2 linked regions of the Stegostoma tigrinum genome follow. The protein of the gene in region 1 purifies or fractionates together with the protein of each later gene. This does not show direct contact. Links are inferred from orthologs where the notes say so. Each region holds a gene or a part of one and is shown on either strand. Other genes may lie near its edges.

Region 1 (7,369 bases):
AGGCTCTCTATACAGTATCCAACATCACCATCAACTGGAAGGACAAGGGCAAATGTTTCAATGGAAACACAGCCAGTCGCAATTCCCCTCCAAGCCAAAGACCATCTTGATTTCATAGAATCAAAACATGTTATGGTGTAGAACAGGCTATTTAGCCAATCATCTCTGCACTAGCTCTTCAAAGGAGCATCATTACTTGGTATGCTAATAAACATAACACAGCATGGAGCTGCAGGAGCACAGCAGGCCAGGCAGCATCAAAGGAGCAGGTGAGGACCCTTCTTCAGAAATGGGAGAAGGGAAGAGGGCTCTGAAATAAATAGAGAGGGGGGTTTTGGGCTGGGAAAGGTAGGTGGGATGGTCACTGCAGGTAGGTAGTAGTGGGGATTGTTAAGTGAGGTGGGAGTTGCAGATCGGTAGGAGAGAAAATGGACAGGTTGAGTCAGGTCAAGGAGCGGGGCGGGGGGTAGGGTGGTGAAGAAATGAAGAAGGGTCTAGGCCCGAAACGTCAGCCTTTCCTGCTCCTATGATGCTGCTTGGCCTGCTGTGTTCATCCAGCCCTTGTTATCTGAGCTTTTCCAATAACTTTGTTTTTGTTGCACCGTTTGCAACATGCACACATTGGGTGTCCCCATTAGGATGAGGGTCTGCGCGTATGTGTGTGCCTCACCATTCATTCCAACATTCAAAAAATGCTCATTATGTAAAACTACCTCCAACTGCTTTTTTTTGCTCAAGGCCCTCCTTCAGAGAGAAAAAAACCACCCAAAATGCTTATTATTTATCCGCCCGGCAACCGCTATCTTTTAAGAAGCGAGTCAGAAAAGTGGTTATCCAACCAGAGCTCTGTGACGCTCTCTTCACAGCCAGCCCTCAATCCGCCAGACATCTCCCGTTGGCTCATTTCGAATCTGTGTGAATGTGACAGGATAAATGGTTCTCTTTGAAACCAGACCCCGCAGCGTTAAAAATAAACAGAAGCGCCGAGTGGAGGGGCAGAGCGAAGCACACTACTCATGAACTCTATTTCTCACCGAACTGTATTCTCAGCAGATTAAAACAAAACACTTTGCCCCCCCCCCCGACAAATATTTTACAGCCTGCAAGCAACGCTCCGACATTATTGTAAAATAATGAAGAGGATTCCGTTCTAATCAAACTGAGGACGGAGAGATCCCAAATGAATGGGTCTTCTGAACAAAATAAGATGTGTACCGTATGTATCATTAAAAACGGCACCAAATTTAAACTTGCAATTGGCGATCATATATGAGGGAATCTTCAACTAAAGCGGACCAAATTTAAGATTGAGATCATTTATCATAATTTTTTCTTTAAAAAAGGACGAAATTTAAAACTGTAATTGGGCATCGTATACGAGGGAAGAATATTCAATTTAAAAAGGGAGTAAATTTAAGATCATGATTGGCAGATCGTACGTCTTCGTTTGGAAAGGGACGAGATTTAAAACTACTGTCGTTGAGGATCATACATCTTAAAAATAATTAGCGGACTAAGCTCAAAATCAGGAACAAAAACAAAGCTGCTGGAAAAGCTCAGCGGGTCTGGCAGCTTCTGTGAAGGGGAAAACAGAGCTGAGATTTCGGGTCTGTTGACCCTTCCTCAGAACTCCAGATCATGTTCAAGTCGAAGTGGGGAAATCATGAAGGGGACGGTTAGTGGTAACACTGAAGGAACTAAAAGGCAAAACGCAATCATATAAAATAAACATATCAAATAATCTTAGTGACACCGGAGAGATAAATGCAATAATCAAATGTTATAAATGGGAGGGTTTTGGTGGTAAGAAATGATGTAGGAGAGAGGAGACACAGAAAGGTAATGTTAGCGGCAGTGAGCACTGTCACTATCTCTGTCTCACCTTAAGATAGTCGTTTTCCGAGCGGAGCTCCTCAATCTCTCTGAGCAGCTCCTGGTGCAGCGACCTCCCAGCGCTTTCCTGAGTCTCAGCGGCCGGGCCGGAGAGCTTACCAGCCCGCGGCTCTTGCCTGGCTTGGGCGGCCCTGGGCCCGTGTTCCCCGTCAGTGCCATTGCCGCCTTTACCCGGGGACGGGCGCTGCTGCTGCTCGGGGGTAAGCGGCGCTCCGGCGGCTGCCTGCTGCTGGCTCTCTCGGCATCTCCTCCCGTTCTCGGCGTCGCTGGAGCCGGTACCGGACTCGGCGTCGCTGGTGGTGGCCAGCTCCCCGGGGGCCGGCCGCTGCTCGTCGGACAGAGGCTCGGAAGCGCAGTCGGACAGATCGGAGCTGCTGTCGGTGTGGCTGGTCTTGGCGAGGGGAGACGGGGCCGGAGCCTGGGTCGCTGTCGTTGGTGACAGCCCGGGGCTGGGCTCGATCAGGAGGCATTTCTTGACTTTTCTGAGCTGGTGCTGTGGCTCCTGATGGTGGTGTCTGCCTTTCTCCTGGTGTCCCTTGGAGTTGGAAAGCCTCTTGGCTAAGTGGGGGGCGGACAGAGGAGACTTGGCAGAGGGGACACCCGCTTTCCCCCCGGCCGAGGCTTTGTCCTTAGTGCCCCCCAGGACTCCGCTCCTCCGGGTGAGTCGGCTGTGAGCAGCCAACTGCAGCCCGGGGACCTGTTGCTGATGTGGGGGCTGCAGCTGAGGTTTGGAGAGAGGAAGGGTCGGGGACGAAGGCGGCGGCAAAACCCCGGGTTTGGGAGGCAGGCAGAGCTTAGCAGCGGAGGACGCTCGGCAGTGAAGATCCTTCAGGGGTCTGGCCGGGGAAGGAGCTCTATTCAACCGCTTCTTCTCCACGCACTGCTGCTGTTGCTGCCGGATCTCAGGGCTCCCATTGACCGTCTCCATCCCCTCTTAAGATCCTGCAGTCTCCGCCGAGCAGCCTTGCAAAAACACACCGGCTACCCCTCTCTCCCTTTCTGTGGGCATCACTCCTCCTTCAGTTATTGTGATTCTCACCCCCACCTCCCCTCTCAAGCCCGGATCCAATTGTATTTAAAACCCGGCACACACCAGCCCAGAAATTTGCAAATGGAAATGAATGGCCATTTCCTTGCCCTCTCTATTTCCCCCGATCCTGGTGCCTAATGTAGCGAAATCTCTCCCTTTCTCTGCTTATGGGTTTAGGTTTCCTCCATAGCTGGCTTTCCCCCTCTCCCCCCTTTTCCTTCCTCCTCCCCGCCCCCCCGTCTCTCTCTGCTCCCGACCTGATTAAGACGGAGAGAGAGAAAAAAATAAAAAAAAGCTGCAGCCTCGCCTGACGGCAGTAGCTGAACGCATGCGTGTCTATCCAAGCCAGACCCCTCTGTGTAAAGCGGGTATCAGCAGCCAGATCTGATGTAGTAAACACAGGCAGCAGTTTTGCATCGCTGTGCGTGCGTTTAAATCCAAGGAACAAACCGCTTGCTGTTTATATGCGTGAAACTGAATCTTGAATATTTTGTTTGTTGCAGGAGAGCCGTCTATGGTTTGTTTTGATAAGAGCCATCATTAAGGGCAGCCAATCATTCCAGGATTAATTAAAATTGATCTGCAAGCCACTTGCAATTCAGGAGAGAGAGAGAAAAAAAATCACATTTTAAAGAAATAATTTTTAACACATTTTTTGAACGCCCTCCCTTTTACCCTGGGCAATTTAAATCCCTCAGTTACGGTCACAATGACAGGTTCTCTGCGCGAGTTTGTTCTCTGCAAACTCACATCCTGGGTTCCCACGTTGTATTGGTTACTGCTCTCCAAAAATACTTTGTTGGACACCAATGAGTTGCCAGTGGTCGTGAATTAGCCCTATGTAGATGCATAAGACCACGGCAGAAGTAAGCCATTCAGCCCATCGAGTACATTCCGCTATACGCTGAGATCACGGTTGATCTGGAAATCCTCAACTCCATTTTCCTGCCTTTTATCCCATAACCCCCGATTCCTGCACTGAATTTTTTAAAAAAGGGTTTCTGAGACTTGAGCATACCTAATCTCGACCTTGGATACACTTCAGTTCTTTATATAAAGCAGGAAATTATACAATGCCCCAAGAATACCCACAACAAGAGTCTGCAACTGTAACCATGTGATGGGGTACATTTGATGGCTCCTGACAATAGCCAGGGGACCATGATGAATGATTAAACCACACCCTTTCAAAGTGAGGCAGGCAGTATCATGCTATCCAATAATTACCAGGCTTGCAATGTTCAGACAGGCGGAATCCTTTCATTCTCCTGCTGATGAGCTTCTCAACACGTAGGGTAGAGTTCACACACAGTGCCTGCAAAGTGACCTGCGTGCAAAGACAGTCTGAAGGGAGGTGTATGGTTGTTGTCGAGGTTCATGCCCACAGTTCCATAATGCAAAGCTCTTGTGCTGTCCATGCTGTTCCCAGGTCACACATCGTGACAATCATCCATTGTGCCCCGAGGATCATCAACTCCGCGAAAAATGCTCTTTGATCTGCCTAAAACTTGCTGATTTTCTGGAGCAAACACTCATCCTCAAATGAGTGCTGCAGACTGATCTAAGGATCTAGCACCAGTCGTTAGCACTGCTGCCTCACATTGCCAGGGACCTGGGCTGCACTCTACCCTCAGGTAACTGTCTGTGTGAAGTTTGTACATTCTCCCCGTGTCTGTGTGGGTTTCTGCTGGGTGCTCCAATTTCCTCTCACAGTCCAAAGATGCGCAGTTTAGGTAGATTGGCTGTGCTAAATTGCCCATAGTGTCCAAGGATACGTGAGTTAGATGGTTTAGCCATGGGAACTGCAGGGTTATGGGACAAGAATGGGTGGGATTGGCAGTATGGGCTTGGTGGTCTGAATGGCCTGCTCCCACACTGTAGGGATACAATGAGCACTAAAGCTTTTGGCAGCTGCAAGAGAGGTGCAATGGGGAAAGGTCCACATTACCTATACGTTTCAGCCATGGTACCTAGAGCAGCTAAAAACTGTAAAATCCCTCAGGCTGCGTGCCTTATAAGGAATATAAATTGAATATCAAAGGTACCAATACAACCTCAGGTCCAAGAATAGGCATCTCTAAAGTTAAATAAGCAACAGACAGAGTTTGATCAACCTTCCTATATTTACTGACTGTTGAAAAGCAGTTCCTCCATCCTCAAGCAACTGTCTCCATAACAACTTCAGGATCTTCTTATTCTACAAGTCTCTTGGAAAAGTCAAATGTTTAAGCCTTCTTTGTAAACACATCTGGCCATAATACAACAAAAAAACTAGCAAGCTCTAACTCACTTAAATTTGAAACCAAGTCTCTGCATTTTTAATCCTTAAGATGGCCCATAATGGAGAGTTGGGTGCTTGCTTTTAATCTGCATGGACTCAATGGGCTGAAGGGTCTTTTTCTACACTTCAATGTTTCTGTAAATATTACATTACTGCTTAACTGAATCTTAAGTACCATTGTGGGATTTGCACTGGGGTCCCAGTCAGGGCTGTGGATTACTAGAAATGTGACATTACCACATTGTCACACCCAAGTACTTTTAAAATGATCGGAGATAATGGGAACTGCAGATGCTGGAGAATCCAAGATAACAAAGTGTGTGGCTGGATGAACACAGCAGGCCAAGCAGCATCTTAAGATGCTGCTTGGCCTGCTGTGTTCATCCAGCCCCACACTTTGTAATCTTACTTTTAAAGTGAGATTACTATTGTAGTGTAGGAAACACAACAGACAGTCTGAACACTGCAATTTCCTGCAAAGACCAATGTGGTAATAAACATATTTGTAAAATATTTGTTCCGGGGCTGTAAGCACAACAATAAATGCACTCGTTCTGAGTAACTTGCTCGGCTATTTCAGAGGGCAGTTAAGAGTCAGCCACATTGCTGTGGGTCTGAAGTCACATGTAAGCCAGACTAGGTAAGGACAGTAGATTTTCTTCCCCAAGACATGTCAGTGAGCCAGGTGGGTTTTTGTGAAAATTGGCAAATGCTACAAGGTTGCCATTATATAAGCTATTTTTGATTCCAAAATATTTAAAATTGAGGTCAAATTTAAACATCTGCCAACGCAGGCTTCAAACCGATATCTACAGAACATTAGTCTGGGACTGTGGATAACCAGTCCACTGCCAATGTTGGTTGAGGGATAAATATTGGCCAAAACACTGGGAAGCACTTCCTAGCTCTTCTTCAAAATAGCAGGACCATGTTGAGGACACCCAGAAGACCAGGAAGACAAAACCTTCATTTCAACCTCTTGTCCAAAAGGCAGCATCTATAACACTCCCTCAATATTCCCTGCTGCTACGATCATTGTTCAACAGATGAAACCACAGCCTGTACCTATCCAAATTCCATGCCAGAGTTTTCAAGGTTTGTAATCTTTGTTTCTGGGACATGGTGCAGTCAACTTTATTTGTGGTTTACACTCAAAATGTCAAAACCAGACTAAATAGCTGCAAAACCCAACAGGAACTTGATATGGAGATCTAGGAGCATGTGCAGCTGAAAGATGAGGGCGCAGAATTATCTAGGTAATGTCCTCAAGTTAGGTTTTTTTAAAAGTTAATTTATTAAATTCTGCTTTGGATTTGGTGACATTTGACAATTGTGGCTCAGCTAACAGATCTCCATGCAAAGCAGATTTAGAACTCTAAGAATCTAAAACAATTTTATTTTTACACTTGTGCATATTTATACACTGATTGTAAATTGCAATGCAATGGAAAATCACATCTTAGCTGTCTGCTTTCCAATATAAACACTCAATATATTTTGAGGCCCTTTGTGTCCTTTTAGGGTCATCGTCTGAACTCCTGGAAGAAATTCACGCTGCAGTGAAATTCGCTTGTATATGCATTAAGTGTCACTTGAATACATACAAATTTCCTTTTGCTGAGTAATGGCCATTGTTGTGCTACTGCTTCATTATTAGAACAACCGTATGATTTAATTTTGTATTCATAACAAAATTAATGTTGCAAAATTTCATAATAGACTAGCATTAAATGCATGGCCAGAACAAAATTTCACAATGGACCTCCGTAGATACTTTAAATAAATAGCATACGGGGCAGGGGAGAGCAAAGTGGAGTGATATAGCTGCTGTTAAAGGTTTAGCTCACCATTGAAAAGGAGGTTGTGGTGATAAAAGGACACTGAACTAATTGTTCAAGATGGCCCAGCAGAAAAATGTGTAAAACACAAGTCCTAAGACTTAACCTGGATATACATCATGATGTTTAGCTCATCAGGTAATACATGAACATTAAATTGTGTGAAAACCATTCCTACACATTATTGCAATGGGGTTGATCTGTAAAATCCTAATGTGACACCAAGTGTGATCTCATATACCCAAGAGATTCTTTCCACGTTGGCCTTCTGTCCAATTGATAGCTCCTTCCACTGGAAGTTACAGCACTGGTTGTGGGTATCATGGA
Region 2 (7,936 bases), on another chromosome or scaffold:
CGCAACCTTGCTTATCAAAGTTCTATTCTTCTCTTCCTTACAAATATTTAAAGTGTCTGCTTCCATTGACTTTTGAAGAAGAGAGTTGAAAAAACACATGAACCTTTGACAGAAAATATTTCTCTTCATCTCTGCCTTAGATGGGCAATTGCTGATTTTTAAATAGTTGCCCTTCATCCTGCATTATCCCAGAAGAACAATAATCTTCCCTACACCCACCTTATCATCAGCTAAAATCAATTATTTCTTGTTGTACGTAGATACAAACTCACCTCACACTGAGACAGCGTACACAGCCTAACCTCATGCTGAGACAGTGTACATTGCCCTACATCACACTGAGACAGTGTACATTGCCCTACATCACACTTCCAGGGAGATTCCCAGGACTGGGCTGATTTTTACTGGGAAGCTTCCTAGGAGAGGGTTTGCATTTACTGGAGGACTCCCTGGGAGTGGGTCTGCGTTTACAGGGAGTGGGCCATCCTTTCTATGTTAAACCTGCAATTTGACACAGTCATCATGCTACAACCTGATCAATGACTAATGAAGGTTTGGCATATATTTGTCAAGTAACTGGAGTTAAAAATAAAATCTTATTTGGAGACACAAATGAGTGAAATTTGTGGCCTTCTTGATGGTGCGTCAGTGGATTATTTGAAATCTGGAAAGTCTTTGAAGGTATAGAATCAATTTTATACTTTCTAATTAAGCAGTTCCATGATGTTATTACACACCTCTGGAGCAGATGGGACTTGAACCTGAGTCTTGGAGACAGTAAGGACTATAGATGCTGGAAGCCACAGTTTAAAGGTGAGGCTGGAAAAGCGCAGCAGGTCAGACTTGGGAGGCGGAGCCCAGAAATAAGTAGAGGGAGGCGGTGGGAGTGGAGGAAGTGTAGGAGAGATGGTGATATGTAGGTGCAGGTGGTGGGGTATTGTGGTTGGTCTGTGGGAAAGGGGAGAGTTGGTGAGTAGGAAGGTGGACAGGTTAGGTCAGGTCAGGAGGTGGAGGTCTGGATAGGGACTGAGGCTGGGGTTGGAGGGATTTTCTGGCTGGTGAAGTCAATGTTAAGGCCATTGCATCACCCTCCAAAATTTCCGCCACCTACATTCAGACCCCACCACCAAAATGTTATTTCCCTCCCCTCCTCTGTCCACAGGGACCATTCATTCCGTGATCCCCTCATCAGCTCTATACACCTCACCAATTCCTCTAACACACCCAGTACCTTTCCCTGCAGCTGCAGGAGATTAACACCTGCCCCCACATCTCCCCTCTCACCTCCATTCAAGGTCCAAAACAATCCTTCCAGATCCAGCAGGGATTCACCTGCACTTCATCCAACCTTATCTATTGCATCCATTGTACCCGATGTGGCCTCCCCTTTATTGGGGAGACCAAACGAAGACTCAGTTCTCCCAGCCATATCACATATCCAGCTCTACCCCTCCTGACCTGACCTAACCTGTCCATCTTCTACTCACCTATCCATTCCACCTTTCCCACGGACCAATCACAATAGCCCCCTACCTGCATCCACCTATCACTAATCTATCCTACCCTTCCCCCAGCATCATCACCCTCCCTTCATTTCTGGGATCTCCTCCCCCTCCTCAGTCCTGATGAAAGATTTTGGTCTGAAACATTGACTTATCTCCTCCTTAGATGCTGTCTGACCAGCTGTGCTTTTCCAGCCTCGCGCCTACAGACTCTTGAACCTGGGTCTCCTTGGCTCAGAGGTAGAGACATAGCATTGAACTACAAGTACACTAAAATCAATTTTTAGTTTTATCTTCTAATCAAGCTGTTCAGCAATGTTGTTACAGACCTCTGTAGCAGATGGGACTGTGACCTTATAGAAATGATATAAAATCATGAGGGGCATGGATAGAGTAAAATAGCCGAGGGTAGGTAAGTCCAAAACTAGAGGGGCATATATTTAAGGTGAGAGGGGAAAGATTTAAAAGGGCCCTAAGGAGGCCCTTTTTCACATGGAGGGTGTTGTGTGTATGGAACGAGCTGCCAGAGGAAGTGATGGGGTCTGGTACAGTTACAGCATTTAAAAGGCATCTGGATGTGTAAATGAATAGGAAGGGTTTAAAGGGAAGTGGGCCAATGTTGGCAAATGGGACTAGATTTATTTAGGAATATGTGGTCAGCATGGACAAGTTGAACTATACAGCGTGACTCCTTGTTCAGAGATAGGGACGTTACCACTGCATTACAAGTGCACTCGAATCAATCTTTAACACATTATTTGCACATTGCATGTGGCTGTGTCCAGTTCTGTTGATTTTATAACTGTTTAGCCCATGGTGTTGATGGGATTAAGAACAGCCAAATTAGAAATTTGCCATTTATTCGCCAAGTGAACAACTTCATTGCTACATCCAACAGTTTATATCTGGGTTCCATTCTCAATTTTGAATGAAAAAGTGTTACAAAGAATTGGAGTACTGGATAGTATGCGTACACATAAGATTTAAACAAAGATAAATGCCGAACATTTAATATTTCCCACTTGTGAGAAGAATAACAGATTCTATATTTATAACTGTCCTGTGTAAAATTTCAGTTGTCCCTGATGACACATTCTAGGCCTGCAGTTATGCTGTGGGCCCTGGTGATCCTTCCTGAAACAGACCACATCCTCAAAAATTCAGACTTCAAAGACAACAGCAAACAGCATTCAGAGCAGAGAACAGTAGCTCCTACCTGATTGCAGTGAGAGATCGGCTGAGTGTCAAAAGTTACCAATTTCAGCCCGGCCAATGATGAGGACACTTAACAAATTGATTGATATTGAAAGATAAACCTTTTCTCATGACACAACCCATGAAGCAGTTATCTGGTTACCCTCCTGGCTGTATTGTACGCCAAAGAATTAGCTGATTTGTATATAGTACCCATTCTCAAATGGCAATGTGCTTTCGACTTTTGCTTGCAGAAGGGACTAGGTCCCAGTTTACTTCTGCCTCTATAAATTCTATTCTTTTAATTAATTCATTCATAAGATGTGGACATTGCTGGCTGGCCAGGATTTATTGTCCATCCCAAGTTGTCCCTTGAGAAGGTGGTGGTGAGTTGCCTTCTTGATCCACTGCAGTCCTTGTGATGTGGGACACCCGCATTGCTGTCAGGGAGTGGGTTTTAACCCAGCAACTCTGCATGATTGGTAGCTTCTTACTAGCGCTTGTAGCCATGGTATTTATAGGGCTCATTCTGATCAGGATGTTTAGAATAAGAGATACAGAGATGGTCATAACATTGAACGTCAAGAGGGAATGGTTTGATACTCTCTTATTGAAGATGGTCATTGCCTGGCAGTTGTGTGGCATGAATATTACTTGCCAATTAACAACTGTAAATTGTCCAGTTCTAGTTGCATTTGGATGTGGATTGCTTCAGTTTCTGAGGAGTCAAGAAAGTTGAATTTTGTGAAATCATCAGTGAACATACTTACTTCTGTCCGGGTGGAGGCAAGGCCATTTATGAAGCAGCTGGAGTCAACATCCAACTTTTTAATACTGTAATTAAAACGGTTGATCTGGCCATGGGCAGATTGCCATTTGTGAGATCTTGCTGTGCATAAATTTGCTGCCAGTTTTCTTACACTACAAAAGAGATCATACTTCAAAAAGTACTTCATTGGCTGTAAGGGACATCTGAGGACCTGAAACGCTTTTCTGATTCATTCTGTTCCAAGAGGAGACCAAACTGTCTATTCAATCTGATAAGAAAGATGAAGTCATTCAGCAGCTGTCCCATTGCAGACAGAGAGATACACAACTGCTGGTGAACTTTTATAAACCTTGCAGTGCAGAAGTAGGCCATCAGGGCCACAGCACCCCTCCAAACAACATCCCATCCAATCTCCAGAACCCAACATTTCCCATGTACCTAACCTGCACACTATGGGCAATTTAACATGGTCAATCCACCCTAACTTGCAAATTTTTGGACTGTGGGAGGAAACTGGAGCACCCAGAGGAAACTCACACATACACTGGGAGAATGTGCAAACTCCACACAGACAGTCACCAAAGGGTGGAATCAAACCAGCATACCTGGTGCTGTGAGGCAGCAGTGCTAACCACTAAGCCACCATGCCACTCCAGAGGGAAACAGTAAGGAGGAGAATTCTTCATGGCAACCTCAAACCGGTGTAAGAATTGAACCCACATTGTTGGCATCATTCTGTGTTACAAACTGAGCTATAATAGCAGTGGACTGCTAAGGCTGGAGATAATGATCTGATCCTCACCCCAAGATATCCCCGATGGGTTTGCAGGGTCACATCTCTCAAGTGCTCCATCCCCGGTCCCTTCCAGTCCTGCTCACTGCACCATTCTCCTCCTCCTCATAATGATCTGATCCTCACCCCAAGATATCCCCCATGGGTTTGCAGGGTCACATCTCTCAAGTGCTCCATCCCCGGTCCCTTCCAGTCCTGCTCACTGCACCATTCTCCTCCTCCTCATTTAACTGCACTTTTGTTTCTTTTTGTATGTTCCCGCCACCCTCTTTCCATCCTCCATCCCTTGCCAATTCCCCTTCAGTAGTGACATGAAGGGCATGCTCCGGGTCCCACGACGGCAGAAAAGACCGATAATCTCCGGAACAAGCCGAAAGCTGCGCTCGGGCTCCGAAAAGTGCCGAGAAGCACCGAAGGCGCTCCCCGGAAATGGGAGCCCGCGTCTGACGTAGAATTTCTCCGGAAATGACCGAAGATTCCCGAACGCGCACACCCCTCCCTCCCTGGGAAGGACGGGATGGCGGAAATCGCCGAGAGCGGTTAGGACGTGCAGGGCAGTAAGGAATCGTGGGGAGGAGGAGACGGCGGAATCGCCGAGGATTGCCGAAGCGGCCATCTTGCCGGGCTCGGGCAGTGAGAGGGAGAGTGGGGTTCCGGCTTTCTCGTCAGAGGCGAAAGTCCGGGCGCCGCCGGACACCGAGAGGGAGAGAGAGGCGGGGGTTGTCAATAGCAATAACCGGGGCAGGAGGGTGAGGAGGAGGGTAGTGGAGGGAAAGAAGCGGGTGAAAGTAAAATACAAATACCCGGGGCGTTTATTCGTGTTTTATGCCCCCGCCGCCCCGAAACCCCTGACCCCACAACTTTGCGGAGAGCCCCCACCCCGGGCCCCTAGAGGCCCTGAAGCCTCGGGGCTTGAGTGAAGAATAAGCCTGGCTGCGCCTCAGCTCCGCCGGTGATCACCGCAAATGTGAGGACGGACACCCCCCCCCCCCCAAACACCCAGCCGGAACTTTTATTTTAACTTTATTTGTTAATTTTAATGACCTCTATACGATTTCTTTTCTGCTGGAGTCTCTTCCCCGTCAGCACCTACCTCGCACCCTAACCCCCCTCCCCCCCCCCTCCCCCATTCTGCTGCTGATCAGTTTAAACTAGTTTGTTTTAGGGGCAGTTGGATGACACTCTTCGCTGCAAATATTCTCTAGATTTCCTTCCCTTTTATTTTAATTTAAAAGTTTTTGTTTCCTCTGTGTGTGTGTGTGTGTGTGGGCGGGCTCCCTTTCAAAGTCCAGAGATGACCACCAGAACACCATTGCCTCCAGTCAATGAGTCTGATCAGGTAAGTCCCTCCACACCTTACTGATCATTTAACCTCTCTCTCCAGTGTATTTTCTAGAAGTTGGTTGGTTTTGTGATTTATATTCACTAACTTAATTTTACTGTCACCAACTGGGTTTTGGGGTAAGGTCGTATATGTTGTTGTATTGGGGGTGTACCCCATGTTTACCCCTTCCCTGTAACTTTATTTTGCCACTGTCTTGTTTCTGTCATTACCTTTTAGATATCATTTCCTGGGAGTGTATTAAGTATTTGGAGGGGGGTCTCTGCTTCCCTCCTGTGTCCTCCACCTCGTATGTTTGATTCAGCTGAACATGGGACATTGAAGGTGTTGTTTGGTCCTTTGTAAATAATATTGATGGATTTTGTGCCTCAGTTCTCTGCCCCTTTTTGTCTTGAATTGGGCACCCCTCAACTGAGAGAGTGAGCAGGTTTGGGGGCAGTTGGGCGTGAGTGTGGAACCTCAAGTGTACCTTGATGTGTGTGGACCATGCATAGTTTTTGAGATCTGAAGTAAAAATGGAAAGCACTTGAGGAACTCAGCAGGTCTGGCAGCAACTGTGGAATAGAGTTAATGCTTTGCGTCCAATATGACTGCTCTCATAAACTGTTTGATGGTTTGTGGACAAGTGAGTGTTGTGGTTGAAGGCTTGGGAGAAGGGGGAGTGTTGCGTAGTTTCAGTTGAATTCTGAGAGAACTCATGGGAAGTGTGCATTGTCTCCCAAGTATTTTCTGTTACTGTTGGTAGCAGCATCTCTGTACAGTTTATGATGTAGAATCATTGTCTTGTACAATTCAGTGCATTTTAAAAAATAAACAAAGAGCGTTGATGTTTTATGAGTCATAAGTGAAAGTTGTTGTACCCTGCTCCCCTATCCGGGTGAATGTGGTCAAGCCGGAAGCACTATGTTTACATGTTTTATTTTGGTCAGTTGAATCTATTACTGAGCTAGTCTCTCGGGATGGGAAAGCAGTTTGAATGCTACAAGCAGACACAAAACAGACAAGCCTGGCTTGGTATTTCTCTTCCTTGGCAGCATTAATTAGTACAGTGTGTCCTCCAGGAAAAGGTACCTGGGTTTCCTTTTCAGTCTGAACAAAATCCACCACTGCTCTCCCTATAACTCTTTATTCCTCTAGTTAATGGCACTGGCAAGTAAGTACAAAAAAGCAAACTGCAGAATTTGCCCTGATTTCTTGGTTTTTCCCCATCTCCCAGACAGTAGCTGATTGCCTATTGCACAATGAACCTCTGATCTTCCTGGCCTGTGTAGTTTACTGCTTTCTCATTCAGTGTATCTTCCAGACCAGGGGTGAAGAGCTGGCAGAGTTTGATAATGTCTGGTTGGAACTGACTGAAATAAGACTGTTTGTTACCGAGTTCCAAATAGAATTAAAATATTCTATTGTACGTCACGGTAGAGATGGGTTCCCCATCAGGTGGATAATATTCAGTAGCCATACTCAGTGTATGACAAGTGTATTCCTCACTTTATAGCCTCACTGCTAACAGTCAATTGAACTGTTTTGGGAAGAGATCTGTGGAAATATATAGAACATTACAACACAGTACAGGTCCTTCGGCCCTCGATGTGCCGACCTGTCATACCGATCTGACGCCCATCTAACCTACACTATTCCATGTACATCCATATTCTTGTCCAATGATGACTTAAATGTACTTAAAGTTGTACTGGCAGGAAGAAAGTGCATTTATAGAATATATTTGGTAATGTCAGGACATCCCCCAAGTGTTTTACAACGAGTCAGGGCCTTTTGTTTGAAATGTAGCCTGTATTGTATGTTGGAACTGCAGTATTTGATCTATACACAACAGGATTCTCGGAATGAGGTGAATGAGCAGATCCTGTGACTTTGGTGCTGAATGAGCGATAGATATTGGTCAGAAAAATTGAAGATTGTTGCCTCCCTTCAGGGAGGTGCCTTGTGACGTCCCCTATCTGTCCTGTGAGGTCTTAGGTCAAAAGGCTGGGAGAGATGAAACTTTCCCCTCAGTATTACGGGTGCAGCGTCAAAATTCTGGCCTGTACAGCCCTCTGGTTTTGGTGGAACACAAGATGTGTAGAAAAAGTCCAATCGCAATGATGCAAGGAGGCCATTCAGCCCTTTGCGTACTGCTGACAGTTTGAAATATCTATAGATTTCTTTTCCTATTAGCTTGCATGGTTTCCTTTTCAAATCCTCTTTTGAAAGTTCCTTTTGAATTTGCTTTCTCTTCTTTCGAGCAGTATGTTTCTGATTACAGCACCTTTTTGCTTCAAAAAAAAAGTTCTCCATATCTCAATAAAAACCAAAAGAACTGCGGATGCTGTAAATCA

The links.
Region 2: the proteins of microtubule cross-linking factor 1 (region 1) and mark2b purify together in Homo sapiens (affinity purification with mass spectrometry; 5 studies listed by BioGRID and IntAct, with this or other methods). This does not show direct contact. The link is inferred for Stegostoma tigrinum from reciprocal best matches to the Homo sapiens genes MTCL1 and MARK2.

What each region holds. Positions count from the first base shown.
Region 1 is NC_081358.1:113,967,510-113,974,878, reverse strand, and holds the start of microtubule cross-linking factor 1, read right to left. Parts: upstream 3,121-7,369; 5' UTR 2,822-3,120; coding exon 1,883-2,821; intron 1-1,882. UniProt on the Homo sapiens protein: Microtubule-associated factor involved in the late phase of epithelial polarization and microtubule dynamics regulation.
Region 2 is NC_081395.1:2,404,942-2,412,877, forward strand, and holds the start of mark2b (serine/threonine-protein kinase MARK2), read left to right. Parts: upstream 1-4,874; 5' UTR 4,875-5,007; exon of another isoform or gene 5,008-5,545; 5' UTR 5,546-5,552; coding exon 5,553-5,597; intron 5,598-7,936. Other genes in the region: dual specificity protein phosphatase 10-like, read right to left, coding at 3,467-3,617, 4,549-4,874. UniProt on the Homo sapiens protein: Serine/threonine-protein kinase. Involved in cell polarity and microtubule dynamics regulation. Phosphorylates CRTC2/TORC2, DCX, HDAC7, KIF13B, MAP2, MAP4 and RAB11FIP2. Phosphorylates the microtubule-associated protein MAPT/TAU.